Schizosaccharomyces pombe: one gene and its partners. Changing the gene in region 2 together with the main gene of any one other region gives a genetic interaction. Each region holds a gene or a part of one and is shown on either strand. Other genes may lie near its edges. The genes, in order: ypa1, amk2, wdr7 and ftp105.

Region 1 (3,748 bases), on a different chromosome or scaffold from region 2:
TTTTACCAAAGGCTTCCCTAAGGCTAAAGTTGTTAAAGCATTGCGTGGTGGGCAAACTACATTTCATGGTCCTGGTCAAATACTTGCATATCCTATTATTGATTTGAAGTCCTTTGGATTAAGTCCACGTGAATATGTGTCAAGGCTAGAGCAAGCGATTATAGCAACATGTAAAAGCTTTGGCATCGAAAAAGCTCATACAACAAAAAACACCGGTGTGTGGGTAACAGAAAACGATAAAATTGCAGCAATTGGTATTCATTTACGCCGAAATATTACTAGTCATGGTCTTGCGCTCAATGTTAGTACGGATCTTAAGTATTTCAATTACATTGTGGGTTGCGGATTATATGGAAAAAACACTACCAGTTTTAAAGACCAAGGAGTTTTTACTGACTTAAAGTCTGTAGAGAAGGTACTGGTAAATAACCTTGATAGCTTTTTAATGAGTAAATAAATTTAAATGTATTAGAAACAGTATTACTTATAAAAAATATAATGCAATAACAGTAATGCTATTCTTGCGATAATTTGGTTTATTAAAAATTTTTTCAGTAAATTTGCGGGCTTTCCTTCCTTTTGGCCCCTATAAAATAGCTTATCAGCAACCATAAAAGATACAATAAATAAAACATAACATTAATAACAGTGACTATTTGTTTTTGAAATTGCACGAAAGATTAAAGTTAAACTACTTTGCAACTAAAGGGTTAAACGGAAAGAGATTTCCAAAATGAAAGTGTTGAACAACAGGATATTTGCTCAGCACTTCCACATCGTACATTTTTATCAATCCCTTGAAAGTAATTAGCTTAATAAATACACACTTCTTAACATACCTGATTGACCTTTGACCATATAGGAACAGCGGTTATATCATACAATATTGGGGAATGTTCGTAAAATGGGCCCTTTTTCATCACGTTTATAAACTTGATAGCACTAAAATACAAGTTGCTATTAGCTTTTTCATCCACTATTTTTTTGTTAAGTATAGCATCAGGCTTTATGATGGAAGATGATGCCTTATCAGCAAGTTGGGCAGAACCAAAAATATAAGGAATAAAAAAATGATCATCAAGCCCCCAAACTCCATGTGAGCCAGCAGGCTCTAAGCGATAAGTTTGAACGAGCTCACGACAAACTTCCAAGTAAACATGGGTTATGTACAAGGCGATAGCTTTATAATCTGCGGCATCTAAAAGTCCCAGCAAGTCCAAGCCCTTAATAAAACCCAAAAAATTTAACTCATGACCCGTACCAAAGTCAATTCTTTGAGAATTACCAAACGATCCCAAAAAATAGTCCAGTAACTCCACTTTTGCCTTACTCAATGAATCAGGAATAATGATGTCCATAATTTGAGAGGCGGAGTCACGTAGCTTTTCGTGCCATATTCGAAAAGCAGGATTACCAAACCGATGCCGACCTGATGCAGGTGGTACAGTTTTAGTAATTTCTTTAACTCTACACAATATTCGTACTAACTTTTCAACTCTTGTTGAGTATTCCACATGATAATCGTTCACACCCACAGATGCAATATTGAGACGCTGTAAAAAATCAAAAATTCGATAATATGCTTTCGATTGTCGAAACGCCGTCATATCGCTCGCCTCCACGATTAGTTTTTCGGGAGTTTTAAACTGTGAACTTTCATCAAACCTTTCATTTTCAAGCTCTAGTATTGTTTTCTCATCTACGACTTGCATTGTAAAGCAATAAACAATGAATCAATCAAGTTCGCGTATACGCCAATAGATTTACGACACTCACTAAGTTACAGGCTTTGATGAACGACTCTTTATTAAAAAAAACCAGGACCAAGTTAAAGAATATAACAGCAACTATAACAGCATTTAAAAACAGCTTGATATTGCTTTCATCAAGATAGAGTATAATAGCAGTATTCGAGAAGAAGCATTTAGCTTATTCAATAACTTGATTAAGATTAGTTTAACGATAATTAGTACTATGGATGTGATTATATCCTAAAATCTTTATAGTGATGTATCCATATGTTAATTCGAACCACTTCATAACAATACGCTACCGAAATAATTATCTCCTAATCAATATTTAACGATATGTTTATTCAATACAATCGATGCAAGAAACGAATATAATAATTTCAACCAGTTTTTACCAAACTGAAAAACAAATGGGGAGAAGCAGCAAAGATAAGGTATGTCTCGTGCGTTACTGAAACCTTGTAAATACTTAACTTTGTAGCGAAAAGTTTACGTTAATTTTATCGAAGTTATATCGTATATTAATGTGTAAACTTTAATGTTTCTCAGTCGCATATAGAAACATTTTAGTTTATTATTTCATTTTTTTTTTATTGCTAAATAATTATTTAACTATTTATTTTGTTAAAATACTAACTTTACACTTTTTTAGAGAGATGCCTATTATCGTCTGGCGAAGGAACAAGGGTGGAGAGCCCGCTCAGCTTTCAAATTGCTCCAATTAAACGAACAGTTCAATTTATTTGAAGGAGCAAAAAGAGTTGTAGACTTATGTGCTGCACCGGGGTCTTGGTCTCAAGTTTTGTCTCGTGAGTTACTCAAAAACATTGATACTTCCATTGCCGCAGATGAGAAACCTATGATTGTTGCTGTTGATCTTCAACCCATGGCACCAATCGATGGGGTATGCACCCTGCAATTAGACATTACTCATCCCAACACCCTTTCAATTATTTTGTCTCACTTTGGTAATGAACCGGCTGATCTCGTAGTTAGTGATGGTGCCCCAGATGTTACTGGTTTGCACGACCTAGATGAATATATTCAAGCACAGATATTGTTAGCTGCATTTAATTTAGCGGTTTGTGTTTTAAAGCCTGGTGGGAAATTTGTTGCAAAAATTTTTCGTGGACGAGATGTTTCACTGTTATACTCTCAGCTTCGTTTGATGTTTCGAAAAGTTTCTTGTGCTAAACCAAGAAGCTCTCGTGCTAGCTCTATCGAGTCCTTTGTCGTTTGTGAAGATTTTAACCCCCCTTCTAATTTTCAACCCGATTTAACAAAACCTTTATGTGTAATCGATCCAACCAATGCTCATGAGATTGCACCATTTATTGCATGTGGTGACCTTGATGGTTATGATGCGGACGCTACTTATCCCGTTGAAATAAATATGAAAAAGGCTACCTTAGACGTTATACAACCTCCAACCGCTCCTCCTTATAAACGAGCTATCGAATTGAAGCATAGCAAGATGATGTCGTAACCTATTATTCCAATTGTCTCTTTTTTATTTAATCTTTTCTTTCGTTTAATTTAGCAGTGGGTTTTACTATTGTATATTATATAGGTATAATCTATTTTTGAACCTATCATTCTTTTTTCATAAAAAAATTAAAGAAAGCAGGATGTGTTCGGTATACTTATAATCAGAATTTCCTCTTATGAATTTTTATCTAAATCAATTACTTTTGATACACACATGCTTTCGTTGAAAGACTTGCTAGTCATGTTTAACTTTATACCTTGCTATAGCAAATCATGGGGTTATGATTATAATTGTCATGTGGATATCATTTTCATAACTATAAGAGAGGCAACTAGTACTACTCATAGCACGGCCAACAGATACGAGTTCGGTAAATTTCATGGCGTTCTTATGAACCCATAGTATCATGAGGTGTAAGACATAAACAAACTTGGTAAACTATTCATCAATAATGATTTTTTCTTCCAAATTTGCAAAGTTTTGAAAAAATGAAGAGAATAAGACGACT
Region 2 (3,891 bases):
GAATGCTCTTTGCAGGGGTTCATGTACATACCACCTACATTGTTTATTGACAGGTACGAGCTATCTAATATTGCGGAAATGCATGCCGACAATTTAGGGCATGTTTTAGGAATTTGGGGTGAGACCGACTTGGAAGCACCTAGTTACAAATTAAATGGTACTGGGTCTTTTTTCTGGTTTGACATATATACGGACGATGGTTTGTTGCAAAAAGACTATATAGACACTATCATTCCCTTACACACACGTTATCAAAGCCCTCTCAAAGGACAAACATACTTAAAAACATCATTAACAAATCCCAAGTTTTTCTGGAATTGTGACACTGAAGACAAAGTAAATGATTTCAGATTTCTGTTTTCCAGTAAGAACAAATATACCTTACAAAACGATCCAACAACCTTAAGCATATCTATTCCAATAGCCGATTTATCCTATAAACATGTCGTAGAATGGGTGACTAATGGAGTCGCGATTTTTTCGTTCTTCTACCTATTGCTATATTTGTGGAAAAGGTTCCGTTACGCAAAGGATTAAGAGAATAACATCGTGAAGTGAAGTAACTAGATATGTATTTATAAAAATTAATTAACCTATGGATCGCTACATAGTGAAATATGAACTGGTTGCTTTGTGCTTGATATCACAGCGTAAAGTTTTCTCGAAACAAAATCGTGCAAATAAACCAATCAAATGAAGTATAATGATGGGATGTTTGAGAAATTTAAAAAAATAAATTTATCATTAAAGTGATTATATACGTCGCGAAATATAAACAATAAATTCGACAGATGCGGTATGGCTAGACATCAAAATTTTTAAACATAGCAGTAGTGACATACTGGGGAAACAAAGTTAGTCAAGCAACGCGTATAAGGAACCGACTTACCTTTCGATGATAGCGCGTAGTAGCACTTAAAGCGAGAACGCCTAACTGGGTATTTGCAGCTGCTAAATGGTTTAAAAGGACGTGATTAGGATTTGGCAAGACAGACTGATCCTCCTTATAGGCAGTATTTGAGTTAAGGATACACTTCTCAAGATGAGGAGGTAGAGAAGGGGGCTTTGGCAACTTCAACTCTTGAAGGGTGTTGCTAGTAAGAAAAGCTGGTATCTCCGTAGAATATTGCTCAGATTCAGACTTTTCCTCCATCGGAAGGTCCGTATGAACTTGACTCAATCTTTCATCAATACTAGCGCCTAACTTCTCATTAGCTTCCACCTCGAGGTAGTTGTAAAGGTTGCCTTCCGCATCGGTGGCAGTTGGAAAATCTGAAGAACAGCACCATATACCATCAACCAAGAATTTAAAACGCTGAGTTCCAGGACGTAATTGCAAAAGGACAGTGTAATCTTCGCTATTTGGCGAAAAAGTTAGCAAGCTTAAAACAGGATAAACAACCTATAAAGGGAGGCTCAAATATAGAAAAAAGCACACCATGAAAAACTCATACCTTTTCAGTAATTGGATTTTTTTCTTCCAACGAGAAAACGATCCAGTGACATAAACAACTTCACCGCCTCCTCTCCATCGAATAATGGTTGGCACACAAGGACCTATATGTGTAAGTAATTAAATTGTCAATTGCAAAAAATCTCCTTTCTGAAAACTATTGCAAACAAACGTTAAGGTCAACAGCTTAAATGATAATGCAATGTTACGGTAAATCACCCTTGTTACATAAGGATGTCAAGCAATCAAATAAACCGGTCTTAAAGAAACTTACCAGAATAAGGCTGATGTGTCTTCTTGCCTGAAGTTTGAGAACGGCGTTTCGTATGACCACTCGATCCTGAAGTTCCGTTTTGGGAAGTACGATTATTACCGCCTTCCTGCTGATTATCATCCGACATTTCACCTTCTTGATTCAAATCATCTGCAGCAATACTAATCATGCTTTGGGCACGTGGTTCTTTTGGAACGTTATTTGCATTGTCAGGCGTTGTTGTGGCATCTTGAGAAGGGACAGCATGTGCGCGAGTCTCTCCTAACATTAAATTAGATACTTATTTCACATGTGTTTAACTTAAAGGACATTACCCTCCTGAGATTGAACATTTCCCATTTTGAAATGATGTAAAGTAGTTTGTTCTGGCTTTGTAGCTCATCACTTTGAACTAAACCCCAACGAGCATGAAATAAGGTTATTTATTGTATCTAAGCTATCATTAAATAGTGGAAGCTAAAGTGCAGCGTTATTCACAGTTAAACGCTTCGTACTGTTTTGCAGCTTTATCAAAGAAAACATTAATTGAAAATCCATTTATTATAAAGAATAAATATCTAAAAGCTGTATGATAAAAGCTGAAAAATTTAATATTGCATTTGGGACGTATAATACAGTTCTACAACAGCTATGTATAATCTTTTGAAGGTAAAAAGCAGCATGCTTCTCATTCTTAATGGAAATGTTTAAAAAATTATTGAAGCTACATATGAAACGATATAGAAAAATTTTAAACTACTCTGTGCATTGAGAGGCCTTCAAGTTAATTATACACTAAAAGCGGTTCACTTATAATTATTGTAACTTAGCGAGGCTTTAATTGAGTTAAACTTCCATAACCGAAAGGCCTGCATATTATATGTTTATAAATTAATGAATACCTTGTACATTACGCTCGTATAGCTTCATCTTTTTTAACTACGTTCTAGTATAACAATATATAAGTATGGCGCAAAAACTTCTTTCGTAAAAAAGACGCTTCTATTTCTCAGACGAAATCACTCAAATTAAGTTACGAACTTAAAAAAAGCCTGAATTTCTAGATATCAAATGCTCTATTTCCGTCAATTTTTCATGTCTACTTATTATGCTGCGAAATAAGCGAACTAAAATCACTGCATTGCAAAAACAAGAACAGTGTTTTCAATGAACGTACTGATTAAATACATTCCATATGAAACGAAGAATATATTATTTTTTAGTTAAATGACGACTTTACCAAACCAAACGTGAATTTTTGTTGCGATGAATCCTTCACTTTATAATCTATAACGAAGCAAAGTAGTGAAAACTTATATGTTGTTAGTACGCAGCTCAGTATTGGTTTAATGATACAATAAAGTATGAAGTATTGTTTTTTGATATGATATGTTCCATTACAAAAATGTCATGAATTGAAGTACATATGGTTGAATATGCTGTTAGAGTACTCTTTCCGTTCACCTAACTCAAACGAAATTTTGATTTCAGTGGTAATCTTTTTATGCTGTTTTAAAGCCACGAACACGAGGAAGGATTTGAAATAGACCGTTTAAATATACAAATTATACCCATACATATCCTAGAGGCTTTTAATGAATAACCTACGCGATTTATTGTTTGCTACGTAGTTTGGTATTTGTTTAGCGATACACTAAAATGCGATGAGTTTCTTTTGCGGGCTACAAGATAACGGTATGGGTATGCTTCACTAACAATATTATATTTATTGTTATAAGTCTACTAGTATTGGTGACCGATTTAGCTAATAACTGAACTGAGGAACGAGGTTCAGTTTGTCTTAATTTAAAGCATTGAAAAAACTATGTAATAAAATAACATCTTTTTATTATTGAACACTATTATAATCTTCTTGATAACTTATCTTGTAAGTAAATAGAGCAAATAGAATATTAGAGCATATGTTATAGTGTATCGTAGTGTATTTTATATAAGCTGACATTAATGTATTGTAGGAATAGTAGTATTTAGAATTGGTATGTACGCTACGCAGTTTGGTATCTGATTTAAGGATACGTAGAACTACGGTGAGTTTTCCTTGTGATCTATTATATTACAATACACAGGTTGTATAAGTAGCAACTGAGTATAGGTATTGTATTAACTGGGTTATAATGTTACCTATCACTAATATAGCTCATAACTGAACTGAGGAACGAGGTTC
Region 3 (6,391 bases), on a different chromosome or scaffold from region 2:
CGTAATAAAAATACGTGCCTCCTCTCTGTCAAGCAGGCTCTTAGCGGTTTCTATTAGTTCACCCATTTGAAGGATTGTAGTCCACATAGTACCCTGGCCACCAGCAATAGTTCCTTTACCGTCTCCATTGTCAAAAAGCTTAAAAGGGACATAAGGACCTCCAAGACCAAGTAAACGGATTTTCATATCTCCAATTTGCAATAGGTAGGAATGAAGTTCGTCCACTATGTTAAGGTTTGGAATAGAATATTCTCCAGAACGAAATTTTTCCAAAACGTGCACATCTTCGCAAGCTCCCCATACTACATATACAGGGACTGAGAATTTCTTCTCTTGTGACAAAAATTGAGGTAATTCTGAAAGCAGGCAATCGGGGTGAGAAGCAATACTATTCTTCAAATCCCCAATTGGATTCGAGGGATAATAATCAAAGTTTTTGGACCTAGGAAGCTTTTTTATGAGAGGCGAGAATTGGACAATGTGACGAAGAGTACTGAAAAAAGGTTAGAACAAAGAAAAATGAAACATAAAAATTTTTGACACAAAACATACCGTTCAGATATGCTAGGAAGTGAGGATCGCTCAAAAAATCCAAAGTCACCAGTGTGGATGACACAGGAGGCATTGGTTTCCTCAACCAGGCTATTTATTAAACTCAGTTCACCTGAAGGGATAGTTATTAGTAAAAACGCGTATTAAAGAGTAGTAATTTTAAGGATAGGAATAGCTAAGGAGAATAAAGTGTATGGACAAAATTCTTTTACGAACCAACGAGGATCTTTAATGACAAAATGAGTAAATTGAGCAATTGCGCTTCAACTCCTGCTAAGCCATTATGGATAAGTTCATGCAAAAGCATACAAATTCGCATCTTCTTATCTTAAAAAGTAAAACGATCGTCGATAATTCCCCCGATGGGGTGCTTTTGAATTCTCGCTGGCAGCTCTAAATCCATAAACAACGCATACTTACCTCGAACATCGGCAATACATAAGATCCTGGATTTATTATCCAATGTGAGTACTTGAGCTGAAACATCCAACGTGGAATTATTCTCGGAATCTGAGTACGTTTTAGAGGATTTATTTTCCAGCGTCCCAGTTGAAGGTTCCGCTTGAATATCACTTTTAGCCGTCTTTTATGTAATTAGTTTAAAATTTTTGCAAAGATTCATTAGATCTATACTTACATCCACGCTCATTATATCGTAAAAATCTAATGAAACGGATAAAACAGTAAATGGTGTTGAGTAAGGGTTTTGTGATGATGCCTCAGTTTCGGCACTGTACTACTTCCTACTACAATAAGAGAATGTTGCTTCGTAATGTTATAACTTAGATCCACCACAAACGAAGTAAAGTAAATTAAATATATAAATACACAAAAAGCAGCAGTTAATAGATAGTTTTTGAAATTTTTAACGTGACAATTGTATTTCTGTAGTATAAAACTCCACAAAAAATAAAAATAAAAATAAAATTTAGTATATATTAATATATATATTTATATATAAATATGAAAAAAAAAGGTGCTTCAATGAAGGATTACAAAATTCTTGAGAAAGCTCGGTAATCGGGACGGCAGAGTTTATTAGGGTATATGTTAAATGTTGCAGCTTTGGAATGGAATTGTTAACTTATTTTACACATACTATGACTTAAGTTTGCCTCGTGTACAGTAGATGATGCTACAGTCTGAAGTATATTTCAATTTCGTTATATCGTTTTTCCAGGTTGAGATTTGAATACTAGTTGCAGTGCGAAATTTACAACATTTGAAGTATGTAAATGTTCTGTTTATTTGGCAAATTGAATAAAATAAGACTGTTAGCAATTTTTTCGGTTTTTTTCTATGTACAACAATACTCTTTTGTGTTATTAAATAATGCTCGTTTACTATAACTTAAACTCGTTTGTACGCTGTATTCTTACTACTAAGTATTGTCAAGATTTGGAAGCAAGGGCATCGCCCCATCAACTAGGTCATATAGTATTCGCGTGCTTCAAGTAGCACAGCAGCACATTCCCACCACCGAGTGGAATTCGAAGTTGTGTGCAGTGGTATAAATTTTGGAGAAGTGTAAGTTGTATATAATTCAAGAATGAAGAGATTTATGTAATGATTGATACAATCGGAGCTGTCGATGCATACATTCTATTAAATGACGGATGGACGAATTGTTTACATGGCTATTTGTTAGACATTCTTGTCTATGGCTGTTGCAAGTTCTTCATTTTTCTTAGATTCTCTTCCTCAAATACTTGTTGCATCTTGTTTATTCGTTTGCGTTCCGAATTTGCTAATTTTACATTCAAGAATATCGCGGCAACTGTTAGTCTGCCTAAATATTGTTTTAATTTCATTTTCTGCGTTTTCAATTACTTTTATATTTAAAAAGGTTTAACAATTACTGAATTGAGTGGTTATTTGGGAAGCCGTGTTCGAACAGCGTTCAAAATTGATGTCAGCCTTAGACCGTTGTTGATTGCGAATCAAAATGGATTGGGTTGCATTGTCGAAAAGCTGTAAAACTCATTTGTTAGATGAAGGCCTTGACGTGTCTTCAATACATTGTTTTGATCAGTATTTGATAGTAGGCCAATGTTCCGGCCAAGTCATGGTATTTGACGTTTCTACAGACAATCATTTCACTTTGATCCAAACATTTATAGCACACAAACATTCCGTTTCTTCTATAGTTTGCCTTCCATTTGAAGCTGATGGAATTGTAGACCTATCAATCATTACACTCGACGAATCTGGGTATGTTGAGCAACTCTCATTAGCCGAGCAGCAATTATCAAATTCATTATTTAACTTATTTCTTGCTAACATTTTCTCAGATTACTTTGTCAATGGCTACTGAAAACATGTGACCGACGAGCTACTTTGCAATTGTGTGACGGGCTATGTTTAAAGCTATTTAGATTAAATAACAACTTTCTTGCTGTTACCGGAACCTTTTTGAAAATATATCTCATTAGAATCTCCAACTTTCAGATAGTTGCGACTTGGACTGGTCATGAGGACTGGCCTATTTTGTTTCCGTTCAAAGACGAAGCTTTATTAATCCCTGTCGCCTATTCAGATGGATCTGTATCTCTTTGGTCAGTTGATTGGTCAGCTCTTACTTTTAAAAGAAATTCAGTTACAAAAGCAGATGTTAAACCAACTTTTGGTAAGGTTATTGATGTTGTACCAGCAGATTGCATTTCTTCCAATTATGCGCTATATGTATACTCGGATGCGGTAGTACTATTGGAATCGCATGAGAAATTTATAGCTTCATATTCACTTGCAGAGATAACATCTGTATTTGTTTTGGCTGATGGCACGGCTTGTATTTTTACTCTTTCGTCTTCAACTTTACTCAAACTTCATCAATCTCCTGAACCTCATTTCGAATTAATTTCTAAGTATTCTGGAGATTTTCCATGGAAATCGTGCACCATTTTAAAAAGTAAACCCGTTAGTTTGTGTGTTTATCCCGAAAAAATAACTTTCAATTGGTTAACAGAAGGAACCGTAGACTCATGCAATCTTTGTAAGTTGAGCAATACAGCTGCTGTTTCCTACGCTTATACGGACTCTCTTAATTTATTCCTTGGAACAACCTCTGGTTTAGTGATGTTTTCTTTGTTTGACTGGTACCTTCACAATGATCCAGCTCCTCTTTACTCTTTTACAAGGGTTTCTGGAATTGTAACATATATGAAAATATTTGAAACTGAACATTCACGCTCAATTTTAGTTGTTGCTACCAAAACTGGAAAGGCTTACTTTTATCAACAACTTCAGGGTGAAAGATGGAGATTTCTCTGCGAGCGTGCTTTGCAATCTTCTTCAATTACTAAAATTATTCATGCAAAGAAATCATTATCTTCTGGTTCATCAGGCTTATTTATTTTTATGAGTTTAGATGGCTCATTGTGTGCCTTGGATGAATCTTATAATCTGTAAGTTATCAGTGTGTTATCAGTTATTAATCGACTTTTATAGTCTAAGCTACTTGCCATCTGATGGTGCTCAAGTTGAAACTTTGTACTCATTTCCCGATTTAGATCAAATCTATGTTGCTTATGACAATTTTCAACTATTAAATTGGGACGTTGTGGATCAAAAATGTTCTGAAGGAAATTATTCAGATATTATTGACTCTTCGTTCATATCTATTGGTACTTTTGATAAATCTAACCTCCCTACTTTGTATCATGGTTCTTGTGCTTTACTCACCGATAATTTGGTTACTGTTTTTTTAGACGCTCATGATTTAGTACTGAACCTCAATTTTTCTAATGAAAATTACATAGAAAAAACGTATATTGACGAGTTCCTTGACTTTATCCAACCTCCTTTCCTAAACTCTGATATAGAGATGGAGCATCAGTTGTTAGGTACTGTTTTTGATCAATCCAGTTTGCATCTTGGTGTGGGTAAGCCAGATGGAAATGCCATACTTCGATTTGACACCGAAATGAAGTCAATAATAAATACTGCACCAAATTGTTCCGCTTTGCTGTTATATCTATATTTTTCTCTAATGGTTCCTTTATGTAAATATGATGGGCTGAGCGATACCAAATTGACTGAAGGAATATTATTAAAGTTAAAAGACCTGAAAACGGTTGATTACAGTATTTCCGTTCTTTCATACGTCTGGAATAATTCAGGCAAGGTTATGCAGGGTATAATTAAATCAATGTTGTCGAGAACATTGGAACTTATATCTCCAGAGGAACTTCAGAGGCTTATATATTATTATTTTGAGTTTTTTACGACTACAGGTGGAGAGTACTATCTGAAAAAGGAGGTGCAACATTCACTGTACATCTTGTCATTAATTGTCAGTTTACGGCCTTCAGCATTTGATGTTTCACAATTGAAATTTTTGTCTTCCTATTTATTACAAAAATCCGAAAGTATGGACTATGACTTAACAGCAATTCGCCTGTTGAGTAATGGTTTTTCCGTGTTTTCAAAACATATTGATCCTGCAAAGTTTATATACAACCTGGTTTTGTCATCCTTAGAGAATACTAAGGATTTGGATGATAAAAATAGCATTCTCTATAGATCAATAGTGGATGTCTCAGTTTCGAATGCTGTTTTACTGCTTACATGTTTATGCGATGAAGTTTATGAGCAAATGAAATCAAATTTACGTTCCGTTATACTAAAAGTTGTGTCTTTGGCAATTGAAAACACACAATCCGAATTTTCTTTATTTAATCAATTGATCACGGAAAAATTACTTCCAATCCTTTACTCTAGCCGCTCGGTTGAAGAAGTTCACGACGTTACTAACGCAATTGCAACCCAATTTCCATTTGCATGTTTTGATAGTAAGGTGGAAAAATATTCCTACATTGACGATGGTGATCTTGTGGTTTATGAAATAGCTAAAAGAAGGAAAGTCGTCAGCAAGGAAAACGCCGAATGTGATATTCAGGTATTGTCCGCCAGTCCTTCTGGTGACTATTTTGTTGGAGTCAGTGCTACGCAAAAGGAATGCATTATTTGGAAATACAGCCAAGATTTCGTAAAATTCTTGAACTTATCAACACCTTCATTAACGATCCGAAAACGTATATTATTACAAACTAACAAAACGAATGAGGTTGAAATTCCTGAAGTCCTATGGATTAGCCAGTCATCAGCAGAAGTCCATATTGGGAGCACCTTTGCTATCATTGACTTGTAGGTGGATTATGAATAAATTTTATCCATGCCACTAAATAGACGAGCCAATTTTTGTATTGGAAGTGGGAAAAACCTCAGTAGAGGCATAAAACGTGCGTAAAATGGATAGTAAAAACGACCCGATTTGTTTGTATATAAGTTTTGAATAATAATTTTTGCTAAGTTTTGAGGTTCTAGTAGAGGGGCTAATACTCTGTTTGGGGTATCTTTTTCGAACATTGTAGATTTAATTTGCCCTAAAACATAAAGAGAAAACTTGAAGTTGGGATGCTGTGATAAAACCTCTTCCTCTAATGTTTCATGTAGCGAAACTAGTGCCGCTTTTGAAGATGAATAGGCACCTGTTAATCACGTTAGAAAGGAAAAGCAAATTTTATAAAATCAACCCCACTTACCGACTCCCATCGCACTAAAATAAGCCAAGGAGGATGCTATGTTGACCACATGAGGATTTGGATCTTGTAAAAGGAGAGGAAATAATGCAGATGTAATTGCCAGCTGTCCGATCACATTTGTTTCAAAGCATCTAAATTAAGCAGTTAGAAAATAAGGCTTACTACGCTTAACCTGTACTTACTTTTGTAATTCTTGTCTTGATATAGACAGCAAATGATTTTTTGGAGCAATAGCTGCAGCATTGATCAGAGCAAAAGGGGTCCTGTTCATCTTTTTCAAAGAATGGACACATCCT
Region 4 (6,482 bases), on a different chromosome or scaffold from region 2:
ATATACATATGGCTTATCCTTGCTTTGTTTCGCATGAAGAGTAATGGTTTCATATGGAATTTTCCAGCCAGAATTCTGTTCTTCATCAAAAAGGATAAAGCTCTGTGAAGTTACTAATAAAGTTATCAATTTGCCCAAAGGAAAACTTTCCTCATCACTTCTAATTTTATAGGGGACTGTTTTTTCTTCAAAATAAACGATTTCTTGATTTGGCAACAACTTTTCACCATTTTCAACTTTGCGAATTAGGTCCTTTGGAAGTGAGTCAATTTTGGTAATCATAATTACTTCTTGCTTCCAATAGGTATTTAAGCATAAAAATTATTAAAAAACAGTAATAAGGCCACCTCTACCTGATAATTTATTGAAAGAAAAGGTTTACTGTGCGTTGTATTCTTTTGAAGTACTCAAATACAATATCTTCGCATATTAAGCATTTCGCAAAATCGAAAATATATTTCTACTCTTAACCACACGAATTTTTTATAAATTGAACCATTATGCCAAACAGGATATCGATTTTACTCAAATACTTTTGATATGCAATTTTCGTAAATGACAAGCTAGTTATTCATTGCAATTACAAAACAAACTCATGAATATAAATAGTTTTGTGGAAAAAATAAAGGAAAGGTCTAAGGTCTTTATGAAGTAATCCTCGTTACCCAAAAAATTGGGACTCAAAACTTTTGAAATTGGATTTTTTATTTTATATAGTAAACAGATTTATAAGTGTAGCGAAATAAAGCTAAGAATTTTTTAGCAACCAATTCATTGCTATATAAGGTTATACATTGATTTGGATACATGTAATGAATTAGCATCAGTGGATCGTTTCTCTCATAAAGGTGGGTCTTTCTAAAGTATACGAGATTGACTTTCAAACACCAACTTTCCAAATCAAACTTCGAAAGACTTTTTTAAAGCTAGTGACAAGGTTGGAGCAGAAGATTCTCCAAGCCAGTTTTTAGTTAATTAATAGAATGAAAACAAATCGAAAAGTTCAAAAATCAAAATTAGCAAGGCAAGATTCTGGTCATCAGTATATAATTAAATGATGGCAGTATGTGGATGCAAATCCTCCAAGATAATTTTTTAGTGAACAATTTAATCAATAAATTTTCAAAGTAAGATACCATAACATGCATGCAGGGTTTTCTTCAAATATTTTTTAGGACAAAAGTATACTTTAATTTACGCATTGAATTTAAGAATCACTTGTTGCGTAAACTGGAATCGTGGTTGACACTACTTGGCAGCTGTAAATACAGCAAATCGAGTTTGTCAAGTATAGATTTTGTGGCATTCTCCATTGAGTTAGAACTGTTTTCAGGAGATGCAACTTTCATGATATTTCCATGTTGTTTGTACACTTTAGAGGTTGTAAATAAAGAGGGAGTAGCCATTAAACCTTTTTCATCAAATGACAAAGTATAAAGCCAAACAAGACTTTGAAACCAATTATTCATAGGGACACTCCAAATAAAGTAGCGAAAATTGGGAACTCGAGGATGTACATCATTTAGCACAGAGTTAGCTAATAGTTTAACAGCTTCGTCAGTAGTTGATAATTCTTCATTCATTTTCTTGTATACAGGTAGAGAAAACTGAGATATAATGGCTAGAATAGAATCCAATTCAAGTCTTGAATGCCAAGAATTAAACCACGAGTTGGAAGGTGCAAACAAATTTGAGTCAATTTCTAAATCTTTTCCAAACGGATTGGATGCACATTTTTTAATAAGTTCTGAACTAGAAACATTTTCCGGTATTTTCCCACGCAACTTTCTAGACAGAACCAATGGAGAATCTGAGAATACATCTTGAAGGACTGTCGGGACAGAAATCGAAACATTTCTACTCGAAATATGTGATAAGCCACCGCGTGAACTACTGCTACTAAAAGGGGAGGAAAATTTATCTAATTCATCGAAAGGTGAATCATCTTCAACGGTAGCAACTTTTTTAAAGTCAGTATTTTGGAGTGGTGTTCCATCTAAGGAGGTGTTATCGGATGATTTAGATTCAAAATCACTACTTCCTTCCGAATTGAGGGCCACTAAAGGCTGTGATTTAGTCTGAGCAACGGCAGGAAGTTTCATAGAATTAAGATTCAAAAAAACTTGCTGGAGGCGAATAATAGAATAACTGAGATTAGGGTTTTGAGAAAACTTGTTTTCAACTATACTAGAAATAGCCTGTAACAGGTATTCAAGAAGCAGATGATTGCGCGGATTACGAAAAAGAAACCGAGGAGATGAAAGAGATGAACAGAGTTGCATTAATTTGGCACACGTAACGAAACTTAGGTTTTCAACAAATGGTGCAATATTGCATATGGTCAACAATATAACAGGAGATAAACTGCTAAACGGAGATCTCTTCACTGCTGAAATATGAAAGCTAGACTGGAAGGCGTAAGTAATAAAATTAAAATAAACAATTAATCGTGAATCTTACGATAATCAAAAACTCTGCATAAGACATTGGTGGGACTGAGAACCCAAGGGAAGACATCAATGATTGTGCATTCATACAGTTTCTATTTAGTTTTTCACAAAGAACCTTCTCGCATGATAAATAATGAACGATAAAAAGGCAAATGCGAACAAGGCCGGAATGTTCATTGTCTTCACGATATCTAAGTGCATAAAACTGAATAGAAGTTAAAAACTCCGTAGCATAAGGAGAAGTGATCAAAAATGCTCGGAAACGCTGTTTTAAATTAGTTAGCAAATATAATGAACGCGTAACAACATAAATTAAACAACTGTACAAATAATGTAATATATATAAAAGGACCGTTGAACATACTTTATTATATAAAATTGCTTGCCAAAGAAACAAAATAATTTCCGGAAACGCGATATTAGGCTTTTGTACAATTGAAATATAGGCAGAGATAGCGGAAACTGGTGCATTCAATAGCCGATATAGTTCGTTAACTAAAAATTCATAATCAGCTTGTAATTGAAGTCGAGAAAAATATAATCTATACTGATTTTCGATAGCAGCGCCAGGAGAAAGATTGAGTCTCTGTCTGAAGTATTCGACTGTTGTTTCATGAGGGGTGTGATCTAAAAAAAGCAAAAGGATTTGAGAAGTAAGTTTTGAGAGTGCAATGCTAGAATCATTATAAGGTACTAGAGTTGAATACGAAGCCTTCCAGCTATCAGGTCTAAGTCGCAAAGTCTAAAAACTAAGTTAGTTGTACAACAAAAAAAGGTAAATTTTAAGCCAAAACTTACAGTATTTATAAGGGAATAAAGAAAAACTAGTATAAGCTGCTTATTTGCTACACAGGTCAAATAAGTAAGGGTGTGAGAAGCTACTTCAGAAGATCGATACAGCCTTTTAGAAATCAATACTAACAGCAAACGAAGAACCTCAATGCGATTAAACGCAAGTTCCTTTGTGGTTTTCTCTTGGGTTTCTGTTGTACCAATTCCATTTTCCCTGCAAAAGTGATTAGTTAACACATTGCATTTAACCAAATATAAAAAAGCAAACGAAAAACAAAAAAAAAATATATATATATATACATATATACTTACCATATAATGTATGCATATTGCTCAGGACTTGAAAGAGGAAGCGTAAAGCCTCTGCAAAAAAGCAAACGAAAGACGGTGTCCAGCAATTCCTCCATTAAAGTTTTTTCATGAGTAAAAGTTTCTTCAATAGAGCCAATTTCTTTGATTGTGCTAGAACCACCTACTGATACGTCAGCGGCAGAGACGTCTGAAGAAGCATCAAGGGAGATGGAAGAAGCAGGAAAGGTGCTCACAGGAGATAATGGGACTGAAGGAGACTTCTGCGAGAATTCGTTCTTTTGGGAGATGGAATTTTCAAAATCTAGATCGTCTTGAAAATTACTAAGGTCTAATTCGGAATTTTCCTTTGGTAAATTTCTCTTCTTTCTAAGGCTCCACCAAAACTTTTGATGCCATTCTTCTAAATCGAGTTTCTCATTCAAAAAAGGAATGATTCTAGTAAGTAGGCGAATGCAGTTTAACGCTTCACTCGCTGGTGCCGTTTCAGGATTTGGAAACTTTTTGTCATTTTTCAACGCAAACAAACGAGATGTCAATACAAGCAGCAATTTTTCAAGGTTTACAAAGGCATGATCCCTCATCTCACGAATGAGACCTGGGGGAAAAAAATCGTAAACTTCTGGACAACTTTCAGGTACACTCCAAAGCTAATAAACATAAAAACGAATACATTAGTAAAAGCGTCTTACACAAGTTAATAAAAAAAATTTCATACAGAAACCCAAACTTCATCATCCAACGGTATATCCTACTAGAATTAGCTTGCAATGTTCTCTTAGCGTATCATCCACCCATAAACACAAACCGTACCGGTTGAGAAGCTAATCTTGCAATTCCTCGCTGAAATGCCAATCTAAACAGTTAGCTCATACGAAAATTTCGCAATGTTACTTACTTTGACTCTTGGCCTCCCATATTCTCTAATTAGATGCGAAAACCGTAAAGTGCTCTTGACAAACGCTGCAGCTTCATCGATAATCGTTAGGTACTAGTAGACCCGTCCATGTGTATACTTTATTCGCGCGCTAAGTTTCCAAAAGATGCATTATTTCATATTGCGAAATTTTATTATTGCTCGAGTTAATTTGTTAGCTCTACCGTACATTTAATGATCGTTAGCATTACGACGAATTTTCACATTTACAGTCAATGCACTATGACTCACTATTTGGTAAACACTTTTTAGCAAACTGCAATTTGTTAGGAGGCAGGGTAAGGAAAACAATTGATTACCATCACGAAATGAGAATTAAGGAAGAAATACAGCTTGTCAAAGAGACTTCAGCTACCTGCTGAACTGCATTTAAATGTTTGTGAGTTTTTGGTTTCTACTCGTTATCTCATAATTACCGTGCCATCAGATAAACCTCAAAGGTTTCTCAGTTATAAAAAAAACAAGGAAACTGTATAGCTGTAAACAATTCATCTACTGTATAACTCACGCGGCAAAACCACATGAGACATCTGTCGAAGCAAACAATGATATATTTACATGTTCAGTAGATGAATCGCTAGACTATGCCGTGATATGTTAGAGTTCCTTATATTATATACAATGAAGTACATTATAAATGGCTGTATTCAAATTTTAGCTATTTCTGTAAAATAAACAAAGCAGCTATCTATTTTGAAGTGAGATTTTTTTCCAATTTATAATAATTTCAATTATAAAAGGTGCTCTTTTTCTACTCTCAATGTACTTGAAATGTCATATATGTATTTGATATCGTCAAAATTGTCAATAGCAAGATAACTAAATAAATGAGATGATAAAGATCTTATTAATTAACTTGGTAGATGATTTTTCCTACTTTTTCCTTTAATCCTATAGCTGATTAACAGGTAATTATTAACAAAAAAATGACTTTTCTTCCATTCTTCTGATTGTTTCAACTCCACTCTGTTATTATGTATCTATTCTCTTTTCTTATCGGTATACCGATTTACGTTAGAAAATGGTAAACAGTATAACGAGAAACCCTCGGTTTCGGTTCATATCTGTATAAAATTAGCAGATTAGCGAAAAATGCTGGAAAGAAAATTAATCAAGGTCAGACATGAACTTGAATTCCTTATCTATAATCTAATTTGTACTTAAATAGAATCCTTTTTTTTCGGTCAACTTCGTACTGCGTTCGAATTTTTCTGGTTTGGATTTTTAGTGTTTTGCAAACATACCTTTACCATACACTAATACCCTAAAAATCACTTCGACACCAACTTACCACGAACCAAGTTCGACAATTTTCACCACCGGTTTTGGGAAAATGTCAGTTAGTGTTGCATTAAAAGCAAAGCCCATTGCTTATGGTGCAGTTGCATGTGCAAATTATGTGAATCTGTCTGGTGCAGGAAGCATTTCCGTCAAGTATGAGGACGTTGCTTTATTAGACAAACAAAACAAGGAATCGAACGTCTCCATTCAGCTTAACGGCTCTGATTCTCCTGTATTCGGTTCCAAGTTGGCTTTACAGACTTTCTCTCAAGTCTATCCTAAACTTTTCATTGGCGAAAACGATCGTTCTTTGGTTGAGAGTTGGGTGGAAACTGCCTCTGCCTTAGCTGGTAACCACAACTTTCTTGAGCTTTCTTCACTTCTTGCTCAGTTAGACGACCATTTAATTATGCGCTCTCTTTTTGTGGGTTATTCCCTCACCTCTGCTGATTTTTCTATTTGGGGTGCCTTAAAATCAAACAACATGGCAGCTGGTGCCGTACGCACTGGCCAGTATTTCAACCTTGCTCGTTGGTACAAGTTTATGGATTCTCAAAATGCCGTGAGTGTCACCATGGAAGAATTCACCAAGGCAGTTAATATTAGCAAAAAACAAAAATCTTCTGGTCCTAACTACGAGATCGGTCTTCCTGATGCCATTGATGGTAAGGTGGTCACCAGATTTCCTCCCGAACCTAGTGGATATTTGCACA

Evidence for each region.
Region 1: mutations in amk2 (region 2) and ypa1 together harm fitness less than expected from each alone (positive genetic interaction), as found in Schizosaccharomyces pombe (3 studies listed by BioGRID).
Region 3: mutations in amk2 (region 2) and wdr7 together harm fitness more than expected from each alone (negative genetic interaction), as found in Schizosaccharomyces pombe (3 studies listed by BioGRID).
Region 4: mutations in amk2 (region 2) and ftp105 together harm fitness more than expected from each alone (negative genetic interaction), as found in Schizosaccharomyces pombe (3 studies listed by BioGRID).

What each region holds. Positions count from the first base shown.
Region 1 is NC_003424.3:4,834,359-4,838,106, reverse strand, and holds ypa1 (type 2A protein phosphatase regulator), read right to left. Parts: upstream 1,913-3,748; 5' UTR 1,713-1,912; coding exon 840-1,712; exon of another isoform or gene 797-839; coding exon 692-796; 3' UTR 517-691; downstream 1-516. Other genes in the region: lip2 (lipoate-protein ligase), read left to right, coding at 1-457; trm7 (tRNA 2'-O-ribose methyltransferase), read left to right, coding at 2,162-2,185, 2,404-3,237; aspartyl metalloaminopeptidase Ape4, read right to left, coding at 3,679-3,748. UniProt on the Schizosaccharomyces pombe protein: PPIases accelerate the folding of proteins. It catalyzes the cis-trans isomerization of proline imidic peptide bonds in oligopeptides.
Region 2 is NC_003421.2:2,206,934-2,210,824, forward strand, and holds amk2 (serine/threonine protein kinase AMPK (beta) regulatory subunit Amk2), read right to left. Parts: upstream 2,095-3,891; 5' UTR 2,067-2,094; coding exon 2,042-2,066; exon of another isoform or gene 1,989-2,041; coding exon 1,728-1,988; exon of another isoform or gene 1,558-1,727; coding exon 1,455-1,557; intron 1,359-1,454; coding exon 890-1,358; intron 842-889; coding exon 803-841; 3' UTR 552-802; downstream 1-551. Other genes in the region: pbn1 (GPI synthesis protein pig-X), read left to right, coding at 1-537. UniProt on the Schizosaccharomyces pombe protein: Beta subunit of AMP-activated protein kinase (AMPK), which is required for transcriptional, metabolic, and developmental adaptations in response to glucose limitation.
Region 3 is NC_003423.3:2,268,883-2,275,273, reverse strand, and holds wdr7 (WDR7-like protein), read left to right. Parts: upstream 1-2,021; 5' UTR 2,022-2,079; intron 2,080-2,316; 5' UTR 2,317-2,497; coding exon 2,498-2,763; intron 2,764-2,843; coding exon 2,844-3,956; exon of another isoform or gene 3,957-3,999; coding exon 4,000-5,701; 3' UTR 5,702-5,706; downstream 5,707-6,391. Other genes in the region: SPOM_SPBC16H5.12C (uncharacterized protein), read right to left, coding at 1-493, 553-664, 973-1,135, 1,190-1,201; SPOM_SPBC16H5.14C (DHRS family dehydrogenase), read right to left, coding at 5,707-6,041, 6,096-6,226, 6,278-6,391.
Region 4 is NC_003424.3:1,784,425-1,790,906, reverse strand, and holds ftp105 (Ubp5 interacting protein Ftp10), read right to left. Parts: upstream 4,538-6,482; 5' UTR 4,470-4,537; coding exon 4,450-4,469; exon of another isoform or gene 4,408-4,449; coding exon 4,365-4,407; exon of another isoform or gene 4,303-4,364; coding exon 4,270-4,302; exon of another isoform or gene 4,202-4,269; coding exon 3,555-4,201; intron 3,457-3,554; coding exon 3,249-3,456; intron 3,193-3,248; coding exon 2,815-3,192; intron 2,716-2,814; coding exon 2,461-2,715; exon of another isoform or gene 2,409-2,460; coding exon 1,215-2,408; 3' UTR 552-1,214; downstream 1-551. Other genes in the region: protein saf5, read right to left, coding at 1-282; gus1 (glutamate-tRNA ligase), read left to right, coding at 5,822-6,482. UniProt on the Schizosaccharomyces pombe protein: Required for the localization of ubp5 to the Golgi apparatus. Involved in detoxification of cadmium ion.